Mytilus edulis: one gene and its partner. The protein of the gene in region 1 binds, or shares a complex with, the protein of each later gene. Links are inferred from orthologs where the notes say so. Each region holds a gene or a part of one and is shown in the gene's direction. Other genes may lie near its edges.

Region 1 (7,196 bases):
GTGAATAAATACAAGTTTTATCAAAAAGTATATAATTTTTTTCATATGAAAAGACCATTTTTTTTTAATAAGTTTGATTTATTTGATTTGAAGTGTTTTATAATGGTTTGTTAATTAGGGAATGCAGTCTGCACCATTTTTGTATTACCCTGTTTGCATTCTGTATCATTCTGTGATGAAATGAATACAATTTTAACAAATTTGTAGTGAAAGAATACAACTTTGATACACTGGCATCACTATAAAACTAGCTTGAATGACATTTTATTGATATTATCAGAAATTATTAGCGAGTATGTTTTGAACACATGTCCATTTCGTATCATATCTTTATTAGCTATGACCATGACCCGACGATAAAATAGACTACAATTAGGTAGTGTTATGCTAATCATAATTACTACAAAAACATTAGTATGCCTTCAATATGAGGAATTTTTATTGACAAGGTTGTCATTCATTGTATGAAGATCTTTTCCAATCCATAAACATGGTTTATGATGATGTGCAGAAAATGACTTGTCTTTCTCATATTATGAGAAAAGATACATGTATCATGTGTATATGATACATGTATGCAAAAATTGGTATATTCCATCAATTTGTGGTTATTCCCTGGCTGATCTGTAATGCTGTATAAGGGAGGATAAACGGTGAAGATTCTTGCTTAATGACGTAAACGGTAATTTTTGTTGCATGACAATAAAATCTGCACTTCCTTTTAGATGATAAAAAAATTGAATGATTTACAACAAAAATGTGTTCATAGTACAATGATGCCCCATCCATACTATCATTTTCTATGTTCAGTGGACCATGAAAATGGGGGAAAACCTCTGATTTGGCATTAAAATTAGAAAGATCATATTATAAGGAACATGTGTACTAAATTTCAAGTTGATTGGACTTCAACTTCATCAATCAAAGTGATGGATATCACTCATGGAAAGATTGGAAGAGTAGTTTGAATATTTTCATCAAGGTATGGTGGGGACATTAATAAAGCACTTATGCTGAAAATAACATAAACAACAGGTCTTTGGAAGGAAAAGTGTTTTTCCAGTATGAAGATAAAAAATTGCAAATCTAAAATTCTCCTAGTAAATTTCACCAATAATCCTTGTAAGACATACAACCAACAGATAAACTTAAACTAAGAACTTTATTAAAAGTGTCAACAAAAATAATCTAAAAATGTTGCTTTGGGGCATTTTGTAAGTTGAAACATAGGTTATATGACATTGAAGATTGTAGAGTACCTTTTGATTAATTTATAAAGTATTTTTCAGCACAGAGCCTTGAAAATGTACTTTTTCATGTTTTTCAACGTTAACAAATTTGAAATTAAAAAATCTTATTTTATTGAAATGTGGATTTTATCTTTCGTGATTGCAAACATATATAATCACTTCTTCTAAATATTCAACTGACTAAAATTGTTAATAGACATTTGAAGGGGAATAAATTAAAAAAAATAAAATGTTTTGTTATACATGTTATCATGGTAATTAAAAGTTTTCAAAATTTACTAACTGTTTCAAGACAATTACTGATACAAAAAATAAGTGAACTAACCTAAATTTTTGATTAATAGCAAAGATCGGTAGATACGTCACTAATAAGTCATGAATATTCATTTATCAGTCACATGACCGCACCTCATGCAAACAAATCAGTAATAACAATGGCATCCATTCAAGATTGTATGTAAATACATTTAACTGATGAAGATAGTAATCGAGAAAAAATACATTTAAAATGATTTGAAACTGTGGAAATATCCAACTAAAGAGATGAACTTAGTGCCGTGGTATTAAAACTTTGGAAAACGATCGGAACTTCTACAAAGGCGAGTGACCTCGTTACGATACGCCTATTTCTTTTGTTGACGTGTTTTACCTGAGCTTCAAATAGTCGATCCTTTAAATATTGGAAAGTGAACTATGTCACCAGGCTTTGATTGGAAGTTGACAGTCTATGACACACCTTTTTCATTGACACAGTGACAATTATGGAAATTTTATGTGCAATTACACCCACAATTCTTTGTTTACATTTACGCACATGCGGGGTGTTTATAAAACTTAAACTTCTCGATAGGTAAAATAAAAGAAATATTCTTTCATTTTAAATGAATTAAATAAACAATATAAAACTACGAACATAAAGAAAATAACTACTATTTTACCAGAAACAGGCTGTGAATGAGACAACTCTAGGTCTCTCAAAAAGTAAACAATCATATGTCTTATATGTCAAAGTACGGACTTAAACACAGAGCCTTGGCTCACACTGAACAGCAAGTTATAAAGAGCGCTCAAATATTTTTGTTCTCTGGGGAAACACATAAAATATTCTTATTTATAAAAGATTTAAAGATGTATCCGATGTTAAGGTACAAAATGTATAGCTATGGAACTGTAACTCGTATCCTTGTAATATTTTTGACAATTTACAGATCATATATCATGTGGTCCGCAAATTGTCAAAATAAACCATAAGAGCTACGGTTGCCCAGCTAGCTAAATGGCACACCATTTTGAATTCAGCGTCGATGATGGTCAATGGTACGATATAAAAAAAAAAAAAACCTACACTTCCCCCCCGTTCTAGCCAAAAAAAATTCCTAACAATTCCGGATTCTACAAATTTTCTACTATGGTCAAATATCTTAAAGAATCACCGTCAAGAAATTCAGACAAAACAGGACACTGATTTGTCACATATGACTCATTTTAGCATTAAACGTTAAAAGTGGCAGTGTCTCCAATACAATGAACCTGGGAACAGTATATCTATCATATGTACGAGAAACAAATAAGTAACACAGCAACACATGACAACTACTGAAAAACAGGCTCCTGATTTGGGAATTGGGACAGGTACATACATACAAACGTGACTGACGGATGGACGGATGGATGAACGGACAGACAGAGGTAAACCAGTTTACCCCCACTTTTTTAAAACGGGGGTATAAAAAATACAGAGTGGATATGAATGGGTACTTGTACATCCCAACAACAAAAAGACAGCTAGTTGAAAGCCAATAACAACTAAAAAAAATCATGCATCTAAGACTAAATTATCAATCATACACATCCAACATCTAACAAAGACATCATACTGAAACAGTCAGAGAAAAATATGACCTTGGGCTATGCAGTAGTCGACAGCTTGTAGATCCATGAAAGTGCATAACATGTTTATAACAATATGTATTTAGTTGATCTGGAATTGGTACATGCCAGGGTTAAAGGATGTACAGTTGCCTTAATTAATAACTTACATCCACTTCATTTGAACTTTGGTGGATAGTTGTCTTATTAACAATCATACATGATGTACCACGGACGGTTGAATGGACCCACAGACCAGAAAACATAATGCCCATAAATGAGGCATAAAAATAACGGTAAGGATAATATTTGAGATCGCTGACGGTAAGGATATTTTGAACAATCCTGGTAAAATTCAAATCAATTTGTCATTTATAGTAGCCATAACTGACTGTTTCACTCTGAGGTTAAAGGGCATTACTACCCTCATAAAATGGTCAGCTGCAAAAAGCCTAAAGTAAAGCCAGTATTCAGTAATTCCTAATGGTAGGGTTTGACAAGAAACAGTTTAATTTTTTTTTAAATTTTATATGGCACAAATTTCTAACGTCTTCAAATTGATACCCCGTGCAAATTGGTTACCTGTCTGCTATTAAATGTTTGCGTTCTTCTTACTTTTGGAAGGCTGGGTCTAAAAATTTCAACCGGAAGCCTGTAAACTAAAAGTCGCTAGAGAACGGGGAAAACACGTTTCAATTCCGGAACAGATTCCATTTCAAACTTATGAGGGTCTCGATGGCGGGTCTGTTATTCTGGTAAACATTTAATTTTCACCTCTTTTTTCTCTAATTTTCAAAAAATTGACCTCTTTTTTCTCTAATCTTCAAAAAATTAGACTAGGACTACGTATCTTAATCCGAAGTTCATTTTTTTTGCCCTTTATTCTCTAATCTTCATTTTTTAAGGGCATTATTCTTTAATCATTTAACCCCATCCAAACCCTAATTTATTCTATCTTGAATATCAAGGTGAAAATATATCTGAATTTCAGTGATGGCGATATTCAACCGAAATTTCTTTGTATAGTTATTGATATGAAGTGTGGCGAAATGAAGGGACGAGTTACTTGGGACGAATGAGTACCCACAATTCAGTATAAACATGTCAGCTCTCAGGACCCACACATGTATTTTAAAAACATTTATTCGTCTACAGTCACATAAAACATATTCACGCACGTTTTGTGCAAAATTTGATGGAGAAAATGTTGTTTTAAAATGGACAAAACGAAACTCGTATCCTGTCATAACAAATATACCATGTGTTTGTTGTTATTCCAAACAGACGAGTTCTGTGACTGATGAATTTTTGGTGAAAGCTGCCCCTTTCGATGCTCCTACAGACCCTGAAGAAACTAATAAAAAGAAAGAAGAGGATAAAAAGGAAAAAGAATCAAAATGGAAAGGACAGAAAAATGCTTGGAAAATAGGATTGATATCTCTTGGAGCAACAGCCTTACTTATTGGTGGCCCCTTTGTTTATTTAAGGGGTAATTGCATCATAAACCCAAATTGGGTTTACCTAACCATTTAAGAAAAAAAAAAATTTTTTTTGACTCTTGTATATAAGAGAAAACTATTTTACCTACCCAGCAACCAACTTTTCTACCTGTAGCAAGTGTAGGCCTTTAGCAATTGTCTGTTTTTTAGTGTTACTGTACATAGAGATCAAGAGCAATTTTACCTTAGGTAGCAATAAACAGTTAGGAAAAAAATTAAATTTGCCCTTAAAAATTTAACCATCCCCTTTTCATTGCTTTCTTGCAATATCAAGCTTACTGTTTGTGTCAAATATGTGCATATGTATGTAATCAGAATCTTCCATAGATTTTATATCAAGTATATATATATAAAATGGTAAAATATAATTTCTTTTGGGTGTATCCATGGCAACAATCTGCATTTATTTGTTATCAAATATTGCAAAAAGGGGGGAAAAGATGTCACATATTTCCCCACAATTTGGCTAAAAGTAGAATTTCAATCGCTTGAAGTAATACCTTTTCTAAATCTGTGTACATATATCATTCAGCAAATCAAATGAAAATCATATTTTCATTTTTTTGTAAAATTGCGTCAAAAACTTCATGTAGAAAAAAGTGTTTGTAAACATTATTTTAAATTTCTGTATGGCTGGTCTAGCTATGAAAATACGGATTGTCAAACAGAAAACAGCCCATAAAACATGTAAAAAATAATCTTGATGCTCTTATAAACCATCTTTGAAGGCTAAATTAGCACTCAGCTGTCTAAAAATGAATTTTATTACACAATAACTTTCCTATTTAAAAAAAATTCACTGCCAGGGCCAAAATGCGAAACTAAACTCCTAACTGTGTATTGCTACCTTATAACCTAACAATCAAGTTAAATTAGCGTAAAAATTCAGAAATTTCTTTATCTTCCTTCTATGTTGTGTAATGCTACCAGCTTTGAAATTCATTAAGGTTCACCATGCATGTCAAAATCTCTTGACTACAGGCAAACTTGTTCATCTAGGAAAGTTTTAAGGGATGGCTGATCCTATAATCATGTTAATATTAAAGTTAAATGCACTTTATGTTTAAGAAAATTAAAAACCTTATTTGGATGTTCATTTTCTTTCAAGTCAGCAGAAGTCGGAATAACATATGACTTTCACTTAAAAGTATGGCCAAGCAGTTACACAGATGTAAATCACCTATTGTTGCCCAGACAGGGTTTCCGCTGGCGGTCGCCATTTTCGCAATTTGCGAAAAAATAATAATTGTGGCGATTAAAATTCGTCATTGGCGAAAGAATTTGGCGAAAGAAATATATATAACGATTTATTTTCAGCCATCTTGTTTGTTTACTATTTTCGGGTTTCTCTGACTTTACCGATCAGACAATACTCGGAATTCACCTTGAACTCGTTAAGATTTCGACAGAAAATCAATAATCAGCTGATTGCATTTATAGCTATCGACATCAAAGGACTAATTAATAAAGGTGTTGATTGTATGATATGACAAAATGATATGGTTAAATGGCTTCTGTCACATGTCTCAAAAGGGATTTATTTACCGCTTTGCGACGCACGTGTTTGAAGCAAAATTTACGCTTCCTCTCCTTCTTTTGAAAAGAAAATTATTGTTATGACGAAAAATGTTCAAAAGCTAGAAAGGTCTCTGATTTTAAACTTTATCATTTAACTTTCATATAGATCATTGATTTGAGTGGGTACTTCAAAGTCGTTTCTGTAACACAGGTGTTTCAAGCATATAGTTTTACTTATTTACGATGGTCTAGAAAAGAAAACTGTCGTTATGAAGAAATCTATTTAAAAGGTTGGCATGAGAGTAACCCTTCAATATAATGACTACACCTTACACGAGGGATCAATTCCAAGTAATAAGATTCTTCGTTTTGTTGTTAAAAAACACTTCTCATTTGGGGGGGGGGGGGGGGGGGGGGTGCTTGAAAAAAAGAAAATTTTAAAGGAAAAATATATTTGGCGAAAAAAATAATAAAGTGGCGAAAAATATATTGTTTTGGCGAAAGAGGTGGCGAAAAAAATAATTGACCCAGGGGAAACCCTGTGCCCAGATATATATATCTATTGTGGTACACAGATATTACCTTAAAACTTTATAAAATAAAACATTATTTTAAATGGTAGATACTTTGTTACAGTCTGATAATAAAGACTTTAACTTAGAGATATACAATGTAAACATTTCTCCACAATAAAAGTACAATTTAACTCCAGGAATTTAAGTTGTGTGTTTTGTATGCAAGTTCCTTGTACAGTGTATGTGGACATAATTATAAAAACATGTATATCTATCCAAATTAAAGTAATTACATACTGAAGGATTAGATTATTTAACATTTGAAATTCTGTAGAACTTTCTCTTATTTTTTAGGAGCACCTCTGGTGGATCCAGGAGGGAAAGAGGTAAAATTCTCTATATTATAATATTTATCTGGATAAAGAATACTTCTGTGTACACAAAGTATTACAAAACATTGGTGAATGCCAGCCTGCAGTGGTGGAAATATTTTGCCAATAACTTTCTTGAAAGATAGATTTTGTTTGATTGTAAGAAATAATAAG
Region 2 (7,107 bases), on another chromosome or scaffold:
GTTCATAAACCTTGTGTTTAAATTTCATTGATTTCTATTTACTTATACTAAAGTTATTGTACGAAAACCAAAAATAATGCTTATTTGGGCCCTTTTTTGGCCCCTTATTCCTAAACTGTTGATACCAAAACTCCCAAAATCATTCCCAACCTTCCTATTGTGGTCATAAACCTTGTGTCAAAATTTCATAGATTTCAATTTACTTAAACTAAAGTTATAGTGCGAAAACCAAGAAAATGCTTATTTGGGCCCTTTTTGGCCCCTAATTCCTAAAATGTTGGGACCAAAACTCCCAAAATCAATCCCAACCTTCCTTTTGTGGTCATAAACCTTGTGTTAAAATTTCTTAGATTTCTATTCACTTTCACTATAGTTAGAGTGCGAAAACTAAAAGTATTCGGACGACGACGACGCCGACGCCAACGTGATAGCAATATACGACGAAAAATTAAAATTTTTGCGGTCGTATAAAAAGAAGATGTGGTATGATTGCCAATGTACAACTATCACAAAAGACCAAAATGACACAGACATTAACAACTATAGGTCACCGTACGGCCTTCAACAATGAGCAAAGCCCATACCGCATAGTCAGCTATAATAGGCCCAGATAAGACAATGTAAAACAATTCAAACGAGAAAACATACCCTAGATAAATTTAATCCAAATGTATAACTTGTTTTAGAAAATTGGATTTGGCAGTGCACTTTTTTCATCCCTGCAGAAGATGATAAAATAAACAAACAGTCTAGTGTCACTCGATATGGTCCACAGTTTAAATCACCAATTATTGTCATGTATCTATCGTTCATCTTTTGTCCATTTCAATCAATGCAGTTCACTTCAATTATTACCTATGGGCAATAGATGAACAGTAGATACAAGTCGAAGTTCAACTTTCAAGGTTTTAGCTTTTCTTCTTGCTTGAAGAAGATAAAGCCATTTATTTTGGCACATGCTGGAGGAATGAAAAAAAATTCTCAGCAAAATCGTTATTTTTTGAAATTTTTCTAAAACATACAAATGTAGAATATTTTTGAATTTTGTTTATCTAGGGCAAGCTATGCCTTAAAAGTATTCAAGTTACACAGGTGTGTCTGTACTCAGGATAAATTTTGATGTGAAAATGCAGCCATTTTAGCCAAAGGGTCCTCATGAACCTTAATTAATATTTCATCAACGCCTTCTATGAGTAAGAGAAGGTACTTTAAGTACTTTTAATCTGTCTCCATAGCTTACATTTGTAAATGTCTTATATATCAGGAATTAATTTAGTTGCTCTTATCTTTTTCCACAGCATTAATATCTTTCACAAAATGTGGATACCAAATTGTGTTTCCATATTCCACGTGCAGTCATACCACCACAATGTATAGTCTTAAAAATGTATATTGATCCTTAAAGCTAAAAGTTTGGTTACTAATGGTGGAGGAAGCTGTTACTTAGAGAGAACCACCTGGACACTAGATTGTAGATTGATCTCCAGGTCATAAATTTTTTTTTTTGGCAAAAACAAATAAACAAAATAGAAATAAAAAGAAATAAAATTAATAAAACTTAACTAAAAAAGTATATATATCATGTTAAAAAGGTCAGTTTTTTTATTGAAATAATTGAAACATTTATTTTCTTCATCCCCTTTGGATAATATTATTTAGTACCTGTAAAAGAAGCAAAATTTGAAATTATTAGCTGATAACATATTTGTAAACAAGGTTTTATAGTTATCATGGTTATGTAATCTAACAGTTTATCAGTCATGCTCCTTGATTCAGGTAACCTTAATTGCTAAACAGCATGAGATCACACCTGGTTTTTGTGTCTGTCCTTAAGACTGTCATGTCAGACACAATGTCTCTCAAAGTTATCAATCTCAGCATGTCCTTAAGAGTACTGTAGTAGGGGCATCTTTGACCAACCAATGCCCCCAAAGTACCCATTCTAGTTTAAACTCTGGTCTGGGTACCACTACCAGAGATGTGGAATCCGGGTCCGTTCACGCCCATTCATGTTTGCACCCTATCACGTTCGCCCCCTTTCACTTTTGTACCCTACACGTTTGCGCCCAATTATTGGTTTTGTGTTTAAAAACTTTGTAATCAAGTTTTGGCAAGTGTATTCCTATTGTAAGTATATTTGTTGTCATTGTCTTAAATTAAAGTGAGACACATGTTTTTTTTTGTGTTGAATAAATCTTAATCTTGTTTTGGTTAAGTGTATTGCTAACTTTTTGTTCATTGTTTCAAAATGAAGTTAGACTATGACAACTTATTTTTTGGTGTTGAATAAATTTTCATCATGTTTTGGTTAGTGCATTGCTATGATTTTTTGTTTCATTGTTTCAGATAAAAGGGGCCAAGCTGTTTAAATCTTTTGTGTTTTTCATTTAAAATCTTCAAGGTTTTTACTCATACGAAGCTAAATACATGCAGTATTTACATCAAATCAATTAAAAACAACAATCTTGGTTTTCTAATTATTCAACTGGAATTTTATTTAGAATTGGGTGCTAACATGGGAGTAGTCCAAGATTACTCTGACGTCCAACGGCTGTTTTGCCAGACAAGCTGGGGCCGTGGGACGTCAGAGCTCGTCCCATATCAAAAAGTGGATATTTGCCCACCCAAAATAGATGCGCTGCTTCATCGCTTCTGGTGCCAATTGAGGGCCATGGAATTATATAAATCGGGCACCAATCTGTTCATTTTTCATTTATCTCTTCATTTATGTAAGTTTCACCTACCTGCCAACCTTTATTTTTCCATATTTTAACGGTTTTCACAGAGACCCATCGATTTCTGCATTTTGACATTCATTTTCAAAGATTATCACGTGACCACGAGAAAACATTGCAAATGACCATAATGTAACACCTCGTTCATTTACGATGCAAGTTATCTAAATGTCCGAGAGCTTCCGATTGTTATCGTGGTCGAAACTAAATGCTTAATACCGATCTCCTGTAAAGGAGGTGAAAAATCGTGGTTAGCTTCTAAATGTTAAACATCGATCTCCTATAAAGGAGGTGAAAACATATAAATATTTGCATATTTGAGTCTCGAGGCCACGAACTCTCTCGTAACTTGACGTCCATTTGAAAGTGAAAGTCAAAATGCAGAAATCGATGGGTCTCTGTGAAAACTGTTAAAATATGGAAAAATAAAGGTTGGCAGGTAGGTGAAACTTACATAAATGAAGAGATAAATGAAAAATGAACAGATTGGTGCCCGATTTATATAATTCCAAGGCCCTCAATCGGCACCAGAAGCGACGAAGCAGCGCATCTATTTTGGTTGGTCAAATATCCACTTTTTGATATGGGACGAGCTCTGACGTCCCACGGCCCCAGCTTGTCTGGCAAAACAGCTGTTGGACGTCAGAGTAATCTCGGACTAACATGGGAGGTGCGAATGTGTAGGGTGCGAAAGTGTATTGGGCACGAACGAACCTGATATTAGAGATCTGTGCATATCTCTGAAATCACCCTTCTGCTATTTTTAGCACCCAGGCTGCAAGTCACCGGACCTTCAGCACTGTAGCCATCAACCTTAACCACTAGACCACGAACTCGCATATAAATTTAATTATATAAAATAAAAAAAATTGCACCATTCCCAAAATCACGGGGGAAAAAATAAAAATGGAAATGAATGTGCATGGAATATTTCATTATTTGCTATTGTAGTAGTGACAATTGTGAATTATTATGGCAATGGTTTTTATTCAGTATAGCGGAAATTGAAAACATTTTTAAAATGTAAAGATACAGATTATGTTTGTAATTATTTTTTGTCTGAAGCATGGTTTTTTTTTTACCTTGAGAATGTTTTGATATTAACCGGAAGCACATGTTTGCAAATGTAAACTCTAAAATCATGAAAATGAACCGTCAAATATACTTGGGATTTAAATATTTCCAAGATATAGTTAAAAAAAATATCATCATGTATCAATTATTAGTTTATATAATTAAGATCCATAAAACAAAGAATATTTTTATTTTGAATTTTTGAGACCTAATAAAACTAATAATGAAAAAAATCTATTTGGGCCCAAGCTCGGGTTGACATTCTTATCTTAGCTTCTGTCTTTATTTATATCCCTTTTTCGACCTTCCGTTTTCAATGACGCACATGTTTCATCAACAGTAAGCAGCGACTGATAATTTCATCATGGATAACAATCAAAAGAAGCGATCAGGGTTCTTTGCTAACTCGCCTTATGATCAACCAATGAATGTCCCAGGTATGTAATTAATCGTGTGCTAGAAGACTTGCAGAAGTATGAGTGATAAATAATTTTATGTAACATCATCATGATCATTATTGTTTATAAATAAAAGGTTTAAAAGCTTTATGTTACAACATATATGAAAAATGAAATCTCAATCAGACTGCAACAAATAACAGGAAGATCTGTAACAGAAGTGGTGTTTCCACTGGCTTGTAAGTTCCGTTGTCTACCCAAGTTCTGGGATATTGGACAAACTATAGTCGCCGTCAGCTGAAATTCGTAGCGGTTATCGCTAAAAATAATCTAAACTATCAATCGCGTTCACTCGAGATATAGTTTTTCACATTCCATTCATAAATTGCAAAAAGAAAAACCACTACTGACCTACTTTTTAGCTCACCTGGCCTAAAAGGCCAAGTGAGCTTTTCTCATCACTTGGCGTCCGGCGTCCGGCGTCGTCGTTAACTTTTACAAAAATCTTCTCCTCTGAAACTACTTGGCCACAATCATCATTGGGGTATCTAGTTTAAAAAATGTGTCCGGTGACTCGGCCAACCATCCAAGATGGCCGCCATGGCTAAAAATAGAACATAGGGGTAAAATGCAGTTTTTGGCCTATAACTCAAAAACCAAAGCATTTAGAGCAAATCTGACATGGGGAAGAATTGTTAAACAGGTGAAGATCTATCTGCCCTGAAATTTTCAGATGAATCAGATAACCCGTTGTTGGGTTGCTGGCCCTGAATTAGTAATTTTAAGGAAATTTTGCTGGTTTTTGGTTATTATCTTGAATATTATTATAGATAGAGATAAACAGTAAACAGCAATAATGTTCAGCAAAGTAAGATTAACAAATAAGTCAACAGGACTGAAATGGTCAGTTGACCCCTTTAGGAGTTATTGCCCTTAATAGTCAATTTTTAACCATTTTTCGTAAATCTTAGTAATATTTTACAAAAATCTTCTCCTCTGAAACTACTGGGCCAAATTAATCGAAACTTGGCCACAATCATGTTTTGGGTTAGTAGTTTGAAAAATGTGTCCGGTGACCCGGCCATCAAACCAAGATGGCCGCCATGGCTAAAAATAGAACATGGGGTAAAATGCAATTTTTGGCCTATAACTCAAAACCCAAAGCATTTAGAGCAAATCTGACATGAGGTAAAATTGTTACTAACATTTTCCACTGAAACTAATGGGCCAAGTTCATTATAGATAGAGATAATTTTAAGCAGCAAGAATGGTCAGTAAAGTAAGATGTACAAACACATCACCATCACCAAAACACAATTTTGTCATGAATCCATCTGCTTCCTTTAATATTCACATAGACCAAGGTGAGCGACACAGGCTCTTTAGAGCCTCTAGTTGAGTGATCGCACTGTAATAATCCTGACCTTCACATACACCTTATCGCTATTTGTCCGCCATTACTGGACATCACACAAGTTCCCGTAAAATTTTGACGTCATAAAAGAAAATATCTGACGCCACAATGGAAAAGAGATTGTTGTATGACGTCAAAAGTTCAAGCGGGACAGATTCTCGGGTCAAGCGGGAATAGCGATAAGGTGTATTTTCCAGAATGTTTTCCATTGTAATTCCGCCATCTTCGTTTCTATGAGGATCATTTGTTTACATATGACATTCGTCACTTACGCAGTTTCCTGAAATGTTCTTTTCATTGATGTGATAAGGTTTCCAGCGCTTTATGCAAATTTTATGAAATTGAACTCCACGGAAACACTTCCGGTAAAAACAATGGCGGATTTCACCATTCAAAATCATCTTGGAAAATGTGAAGGTCAGGATTATTACAGTGCGATCACTTAAAAGGTAGGTCAGTAGTGGTTTTTCTTTTTTCGATTTATGAATGGAATGTGAAAAACTATTATCTCGAGTGAACGCGATTGATAGTTTAGATTATTTTTACAGATAACAGCTACGAATTTCAGCTGACGGCGTCTATACACGTAAAACTGCAGTTAACATAAAGATGTTTATTTTAAAAGACATATATGGTTGAACATACTTACAATATAACATATATACTAAAATACGGAGGCGGCTAGTCTACTTGTTGTATAATGAAGGTTCCATATTTGTAAGCTAAACGGTATGAGCGTCTGCTCATTTCAAATCCTAAGTGTAGACTTCCCTGAACACGGGGAGTGACTTCATACTTATAGTTCCTGGGGACAACGAGCCTGGCTGGACAGGAAGTCAGGCACGTGCAAGAAGCAGGTGCTCTCGACAAGAATAATTACATGGCCGGTCTCTGGAGAAAGAGTTATGGAACTATAAATAATGCTAACATTAATAACCATGCACGTCAACAAGTAATCTTCAGTATTTCAAAGTTTTGGTACAACAGAAGAAGAAAAGAAACAGACCAGAATCGACCCATGAAATATTGTATCAATTCACACAATATTTTAACATGATAAATACATGTAACTTTGGATTATCTCCCTTTACATGACCCCACTATACTGGTCATCCCTTACCACTGTGACATCACAAGAGTAAATGTTTGACAACATAAATGATGTAAAGAAAAGGGATAATTATATCACGTAAATACATGTAACAGAAAACTTGCAAATTCCTATGTTTAAATTTTGCAGATTCTTTTAAAAACTATATAAACCAATAATATCAGATTATTACATGGCATTTTTCATATCGCATGTATTATCAGCCCTAAGTTCAATATCAGCCCAAGAGCCGCACGGCTTGAGGGCTGATAATACATGCGATATGAAAAATGACATGTTATGATCTTTTTATCATATGCTTCAACGATGGAGAAAAATCACAGATTCATATATTGATCCTTTTACCTGGTTCCCAATTAGAAGTTCACGGACGTC

The links. Proteins that work in one complex are often made in the same cells at the same time.
Region 2: mitochondrial import inner membrane translocase subunit TIM50-C-like (region 1) and mitochondrial import inner membrane translocase subunit Tim23-like share a complex: the UniProt entries of both Homo sapiens proteins name them as parts of the TIM23 complex. The link is inferred for Mytilus edulis from reciprocal best matches to the Homo sapiens genes TIMM50 and TIMM23.

The regions. Positions count from the first base shown.
Region 1 is NC_092346.1:56,749,528-56,756,723, reverse strand, and holds the start of mitochondrial import inner membrane translocase subunit TIM50-C-like, read left to right. Parts: upstream 1-4,191; 5' UTR 4,192-4,220; coding exon 4,221-4,608; intron 4,609-7,005; coding exon 7,006-7,037; intron 7,038-7,196. UniProt on the Homo sapiens protein: Essential component of the TIM23 complex, a complex that mediates the translocation of transit peptide-containing proteins across the mitochondrial inner membrane. Has some phosphatase activity in vitro; however such activity may not be relevant in vivo.
Region 2 is NC_092352.1:1,173,207-1,180,313, reverse strand, and holds the start of mitochondrial import inner membrane translocase subunit Tim23-like, read left to right. Parts: upstream 1-4,098; 5' UTR 4,099-4,173; coding exon 4,174-4,246; intron 4,247-7,107. UniProt on the Homo sapiens protein: Essential component of the TIM23 complex, a complex that mediates the translocation of transit peptide-containing proteins across the mitochondrial inner membrane.